2 linked regions of the Callithrix jacchus genome follow. The protein of the gene in region 2 interacts with the protein of the main gene of each other region in a biochemical or structural test. Links are inferred from orthologs where the notes say so. Each region holds a gene or a part of one and is shown on either strand. Other genes may lie near its edges.

Evidence for each region. The genes of interacting proteins can lie anywhere in the genome.
Region 1: the proteins of UBE2D1 (region 2) and BIRC3 form a complex in vitro, tested with the Homo sapiens proteins (5 studies listed by BioGRID). The link is inferred for Callithrix jacchus from reciprocal best matches to the Homo sapiens genes UBE2D1 and BIRC3.

What each region holds. Positions count from the first base shown.
Region 1 is NC_133511.1:37,294,141-37,297,794, reverse strand, and holds part of BIRC3 (baculoviral IAP repeat-containing protein 3), read left to right. Parts: intron 1-622; coding exon 623-865; intron 866-3,654. UniProt on the Homo sapiens protein: Multi-functional protein which regulates not only caspases and apoptosis, but also modulates inflammatory signaling and immunity, mitogenic kinase signaling and cell proliferation, as well as cell invasion and metastasis.
Region 2 is NC_133513.1:72,171,201-72,174,954, forward strand, and holds the start of UBE2D1 (ubiquitin-conjugating enzyme E2 D1), read right to left. Parts: upstream 2,518-3,754; coding exon 2,494-2,517; coding exon of another isoform or gene 2,212-2,493; intron 1-2,211. Other genes in the region: uncharacterized protein LOC144578806, read left to right, coding at 2,212-2,868.

The DNA.
Region 1 (3,654 bases), on a different chromosome or scaffold from region 2:
GGATGAAGCTGAAGAGGTAAACAGGGTTGAGATTGTATGAGATTTTGTAAGCCAATTATATTTTGGATTTTATCCTAAATTAAATTGGAATTGTTGATAGAATTTAAGAAGTGTGACAGAGTTTTTCAAATTTTCAGACAGGTTATTATCATACAATATTGCTTCCTTACAGTTCATTCTCAACAGTTCTGATTGTACTGATCTGATTGTACTGTTGAGAATGAACTGCAAGGAAGCAATATTGTATGATAATAACCTCTCTGAAAATATGTGAAATATTCTTGATTTAGAAAGCTCATTTGTTCATTCAACATAGGGAAAAAGAATCTGAATTCTCGTGGGAGGTAATTCCTGCCACCTCTGTTTCCTTCATCTGTTCACATATGTATATCCAGTTATGACAGGTAATGTGTATTTTGCATCTAAGTACAATATTCCATGTTATTATTTTGATGATTGAACATATATATCATTTTAAATGTAACAGTGTTCCTACAAAATGATGCCTACACATTTTGTTGGTTTTGTGTTTCTAATATTGTAAAAACTTTCCATTTTGATTTCAATTTTTAAGAAATATACAGACTATCCTAATATGTGTTAAATTATTTGTTCCATATAGTTATGCGTTTCGAACCTGGAGAAGATCATGCAGAAGATGCGATCATGATGAATACTCCTGTGGTTAAAGCTGCCCTGGAAATGGGCTTTAGCAGAAGCCTGGTAAAACAGACAGTTCAGAGAAAAATCCTAGCAACTGGAGAGAATTATACACTCATCAGTGATCTTGTGTTAGACCTACTCAATGCAGAAGATGAAATAAGGGAAGAAGAGAAAGAAAGAGCAACTGGGGAAAAAGAATCAAGTATGTAGATTTATTAATACAGTCTCTATTTTCATAAAGATTTGATACTACTCTCTATATTATGGAAAGTATACTCATCTAGTATATATACTGAAAGTATACTCAATCCAATCAGATTTTTTTTGTGTGTTTAGTATTCTGAATTCAAACACTGAAAAATTTCTTTATATTAAAATATATTTGAGTTGCTCATAAATTGAAACTGTATGATGTGCAAAAGTATTTTTTTCTGTTTTCCATATATATATATATATATATATATTTTTTTTTTTTAATTGCATTTTAGGTTTTGGGGTATATGTGCAGATCATGCAAGATAGTTGCATAGGTACACACATGGCAGTGTGCTTTGCTGCCGTCCTCCCCTTCACCCACATTTGGCATTTCTCCCCAGGCTATACCTCCCCCCGTCCCCCCATTGTCCCTCCCCTATTCCCCCCAGTAGACCCCAGTGTGTAGTACTCCCTTCCCTGTGTCCATGTGTTCTCTTTTTTCATCACCTGCCTATGAGTGAGAATATGCGGTATTGCATTTTCTGTTCTTGTGTCAGTTTGCTGAGAATGATGTTCTCCAAATTCATCCATGTCCCTACAAAGGACACAAACTCATCGTTTTTGATTGCTGCATAATATTCCATGGTGTATATGTGCCACATTTTCCCAATCCAGTCTATCGTGGATGGGCTTTTGGGTTGGTTCCAGGTCTTTGCTATTGTAAACAGTGCTGCAATGAACATTCGTGTGCATGTGTCCTTACAGTAGAACAATTTATAGTCCTTTGGATATACACCCAGTAACGGGATTGCAGGGTCAAATGGAATTTCTAATTCTAAGGCCTTGAGGAATCGCCACACTGTCTTCCACAATGGTTGAACTAATTTACACTCCCACCAACAGTGTAAAAGTGTTCCTATTTCTCCACATCCTCTCCGGCATCTGTTGTCTCCAGATTTTTTAATGATCGCCATTCTAACTGGTGTGAGATGGTATCTCAATGTGGTTTTGATTTGCATCTCTCTGATGACCAGTGATGATGAGCATTTTTTTAATGTTTGTTGGCCTCATGTATGTCTTCTTTTGAAAAGCATCTGTTCATATCCTTTGCCCATTTTTGAACGGGCTTGTTTGTTTTCTTCCTGTAAATCTGTTTGAGTTCTTTGTAAATTCTGGATATCAACCCTTTGTCAGATGGGTAGGCTGCAAAAATTTTTCCCCATTCTGTTGGTTGCCAATTCACTCTAGTGACTGTTTCTTTTGCCGTGCAGAAGCTGTGGAGTTTCATTAGGTCCCATTTGTCTATTTTGGCTTTTGTTGCCAATGCTTTTGGTGTTTTGTTCATGAAGTCCTTGCCTACTCCTATGTCCTGAATGGTTTTGCCTAGATTTTCTTCTAGGGTTTTTATGGTGCCAGGTCTTATATTTAAGTATTTAATCCATCTGGAGTTGATTTTCGTGTAAGGTGTCAGGAAGGGGTCCAGTTTCTGCTTTCTGCATATGGTTAGCCAGTTATCCCAACACTATTTATTAAACAGGGAATCCTTTCCGCATTGCTTGTTTTTGTCAGGTTTATCAAATATTGTATGGTTGTAGATATGTTGTGTTGCCTCCAGTGCCTCTGTTCTGTTCCATTGGTCTATATCTCTATTTTGATACCAGTACCATGCTGTTTTGATTACTGTAGCCTTGTAGTATAGTTTGAAGTTCAGTAGTGTGATGCCTCCCGCTGTGTTCTTTTTGCTTAGAATTGACTTGGCTATGTGGGCTCTCTTTTGATTCCATATGAAGTTCATGGTGGTTGTTTCCAGTTCTGTGAAGAAAGTCAATGGTAGCTTGATGGGGATAGCATTGAATCTGTAAATTACTTTGGGCAGTATAGCCATTGTCACGATATTGATTCTTACTAATCATGAACATGGAATGATTCTCCATCTGTGTCCTCTCTTATTTCATTGAGCAGTGGTTTGTAGTTTTCCTTGAAGAGATCTCTTACATTTATTGTAAGTCGTATTCCTAGGTATTTTACTCTTTATGTAGCAATTGTGAATGGCAGTTCATTCTTGATTTGGCTCTCTTTAAGTCTGTTATTGGTGTCTAGGAATGCTTGTGATTTTTGCACATTGATTTTATATCCTGAGACGTTGCTGAAGTTGCTTATCAGTTTCAGGAGTTTTTGGGCTGAGGCGATGGTGTCTTCTAGGTATACTCTCATGTCGTCTGCAAATAGAGACAATTTGGCTTCCACCTTTTCTATTTGAATACCCTTTATTTCTTTTTCTTGCCTGATTGCTCTGGCTAGAACTTCCAGTAGTATACCGAATAGGAATGGTGAAAGAGAGCATTTTTGTCTAGTGCCAGATTTCAAAGGGAATGCTTCCAGTTTTTGCCCATTCAGTATGATATTGGCTGTTGGTTTGTCGTAAATAGCTTTTATTACTTTAAGATATGTTCCATCAATACTGAGTTTATTGAGGGTATTTAGCATAAAGGGCTGTTGAATTTTGTCAAATGCCTTCTCTGCGTCAATTGAGATAATCATGTGGTTTTTGTTTTTGGTTCTGTTTATGTGGTGAATTACATTTATAGACTTGTGTATGTTGAACCAGCCTTGCATCCCCGGGATGAATCCTACTTGATCATGATGGATAAGTTTTTTGATGTGCTGTTGCAATTGGTTTGCCAGTATTTTATTGAAGATTTTTGCATCTATTTTCTTTTTTCTTAGGTCTGGCATTACTGCCTACCTTTCTTTTTTTCCTTTTTTTTTTCTTAATTTTTTATTGGATTACAGGTT
Region 2 (3,754 bases):
CCCATCTGAGGGATTAAGCATCTCTCCATTTACAGAAGTGATGATAGTCTGAGAAAACATCCCACAGAAGAATCTGAGACACTGCCCTAGAAGTTGTTCCCCTGCTGGTATGCTCTACTACACTACTGCAAACTTATCTGAGGTTCCACACAGCTCTACGGCCTGCCACTTTAGGTAGAGGAAAATTATAATAATATTTCATTGAGCTTAAGAAGAAAGGCCAAAAGTTAGTATACATCTTCATTTGCTGGAACATGCAAGATCCAAATAAGAATTTGTATACTGATGGCATCAAAAAAGATTATGTAACTGTTCATATGGCAGGTAGCACATCCAACCTGGAATTGGCTTCTAATCAAGGAGGTAGGTAAAGGAGGAGGAAAAGTATGGAATCAATCAAAATAATCACCCCTCAGGTTTGAGGGAATGGTCTGAATATGTGATTAATGGAAAGATTTGTCTAAGTCAACTTGCCTGGTATCAGAAAGATGAACACATAGAGATGTGATGGTATATGACCCCCAATTTCTTCTCCAAAATATCAATTCATCACGTTTGATATCAATTCTATGTAGATAATTTTTTTTACTGGACAACTCTATAAACTAATAACTGTCAATGCTAAAAAGAAAAGATATGGACACATACCATATTATAAGTCAAATGCACTAGTTCAGCACCGGGATTGATGAAAACTGCCAAGCATGGTATTTACAAACACTGTCCATATTTCTTTGAATATCTACTTACTGTGGACAAATTACACAGCATTTAAAAGCTATTGTTAGTTGGGCATGGTGACTTGTGCCTGTAATTCCAGACTCTCTGGAGGCCAGGAGTTCAAGACCAGCATAGGCAACATAGACTCCCCAACCCCCATCGCTTTAAAAAAAAGAAAAAAAGAAAATTTAAAAAGCTCTTGTGTGTGCAAAGTCACGTGAAAAATTCTCACAACTAGGAAAGAAGAAAATAGACTGAAAACTTCCTTGGAAGATGTGCATTATCTGATCCAAATGTGAACCAATATTATGTCATCATTAATAAGTATGCAACGTATGGTAAACATGCTGACTGAGGCTTCAAAATTAGGATATTTATATGAAAAAAATGTGTAATTGTACTACCTTCAAACAAGAAAACAGCATTACTTAATAAATGCTGATTGTTAACTGTTTTACAATGAGATGACCTTTAAATGGCACAAAAAAATAAGTGAACCACAGATTCAGAAATTGAAAACAAAAAACTAGCAGGCTCTAAAAGTTGCTGTCCTCTGTACCTAAAGATGCCACCAGTGGTGAATCAGAATACAATGTCACTGCTCTAACACATATATTGCTATATTGACTCCTGGTCAAAAAAGTGGATAAAAATGTTTTGTGGGCATCAATGTATTCTGAAACAACTATAAAACACACTGCTCATTGTTGCTTAACTTGCTGAAAAACACTCCCTATTTAACAAACACATTCTCAACGTTTCCAGTGTGAACTATAACTGTAAAACCTAAAACCTGGGTCAGTACACGGACCACCAAGAAATAAACATGAACAGAAAGAAATGCCCGAATCTCAATTCCGAAAGCTGTTCACATCTGAAATGGTTGCAATAAATACTGTGAAAAGAAGACAGTTCCATACACAGGGTTGAGATGGCCAAACAGTCGTTGGATGAAGATATACATTTCTTCCTCATTCTATACTCATGTGTCAAAGCATCAAAACAATTTAATTTGTGACAGTTTATGTTGTGTCTCGAACTTTACATCTAAGTTTATCATGAGGGGGAAAAAAACCTGTTTGGCTTGACTCACCGTGAATCACAGCCAGGAGGTCATCTTGTTGTGTATCAGCAACTATGTTTTCGCTACAGCTATGTGACCTGAAGTGGCAGCAGCAGAGGCACCAAAATAGAAGGGGCAGGAGCCTTCTCCTGGCTTCTTGGCTGCAAATGAGCTTTCCAGCCCATTTGGGCAACTGAGCAAGAGCCAACCGCAAAGGAAAGAAAGAACCAACCCTGACAGCTCCGCGGAGAAAGGCTGCAGGCCCACCCCACCTTCCGTGCCCTCCCGGGGAGCCCGGAGAAGCAGGAACAAAAAAAAGGACAGGCTTAAGAAACAGCCTGCAGAAAACACAGCATGACAGGGGTCAAAACTAGTCCCATGGAGGGCAAAACCCAGCCCTGACCGTGAAGCACAGATTTTGGGGCGGTATGGAGGCGGAGGAGGCTCTCTACCCCGGGGCTCCGGGAGCGGCTCCGGCGCGAGCGCAGAGCGGGCCCCCAGCCTCCAAGCTCCTCCGGCCGCCTGGGACCTGCCCCAGCTCCCACCTCACCTGTCCGGTGCCCGCTGGCCCGGCCCGAGCCTCCGGCTCCCTGCCCGCGCTCCGGCCCACCCTCCCATCCCGTGCTTTCCCCGCACGTCCCTCGGGACCACCGGCCGGGTCAGGGGGCCGCTGCCCGCCCCGCAGCCCCAGGCCCAGCCTCGGCACTCACTTTCTGAATCCGCTTCAGCGCCATGGGTCCGGGATGGCGGTGGGGACACCGGCCGGCGGGGGGCGGCTGCGGGGCTCGGGGGCGCGGGTCGTCCCGGGTTGGGCTCTGGCGGCTCGGCTGGCTCCGCGCAGTGGGTCTCCGGCTCGCCGCTCCCAGGATCGCTCCGGGCGCCGGTCCCTGCTCCGTGTGCGCCCGAGAGCGAGTGTGCGGGCGGGGACGCCGGCGAGACTCTTTTGTTTCCGCTTTTGCTTCTGGGAAGGAGCCTGCGCCCTCCCCGCCGCGCCCCGCCCCGCCTGGCACACTGGGAAGTGTAGTTCCAGCCCTGTCCTCGGCCGCAGGCCCGCGGGCGCTGGCAGGTCACCTACTCACCGCTGACCTCAGCTGGGCAGCTTCAGGTGAGAGCCGCCGGACGCTGGAATCGGTCTTTGCAGTCTCATTTAGAGCACGTGACTCTGGGGCTGCGCATCTGGAAAATGGGGATAACAAATGAGCTGCTAACGCACTTAAAGGCATTTCTAAATTATCAGTTAGTAATTCCTTATCCAATAGGAGCCACAGCTGGTTTTGTTATTTTACCTTTAAAGATTTCACTTTTTCTCAAATATATGCATTGTCGCAATTTCTCACCTTGCACATATGCACAAACTGATTATCTATCAGATCCCTTACTTACCTCCTTAGTTCTTATTGCCGAGGAAAAAGGTGTGCGCGAGTGTGCGGGCGGGGAGTGCTGTCACTGTGAGAAGCATTAGTTTCAGGTAGCTCTCTTCTGTCCAATGCACAAATCTTTCTTGTCTGAGTGCATTGTCTGCTCGTAGGTATACCCCTCTTCATAAATACCCGCTTCGAATACCTAGTTCTGAGCTCTCACTCCCCGCACTGGCTCCTTCCCTACTCATACACACACACAGGCCCTACTCAACAGTCAACTCACACTCCCCACTCTCCAATTCCTGTGCACGTGTGTACCCACTAAAACATGGCTTCTTGCCGGGCGCGGTGGCTCAAGCCTGTAATCCCAACACTTTGGGAGGCTGAGGCAGGCAGATTGCCTGAGGATGGGTTCAAGACAGGCCTAGCCAACAAGATGAAACCCCATCGCTACTAAAAACACAAAAATTAGCTGGACGTAGTGGAGCACATCTGTGGTCCCAGCTACTCGGGAGGCTGAGGCAGGAGAATCACTTGATCCCGGGAGGCAGAGGTTACAGTGAGCGGAAATCACACCACTGCACTCCAGCCTGGGCGACAGAGGGAGACT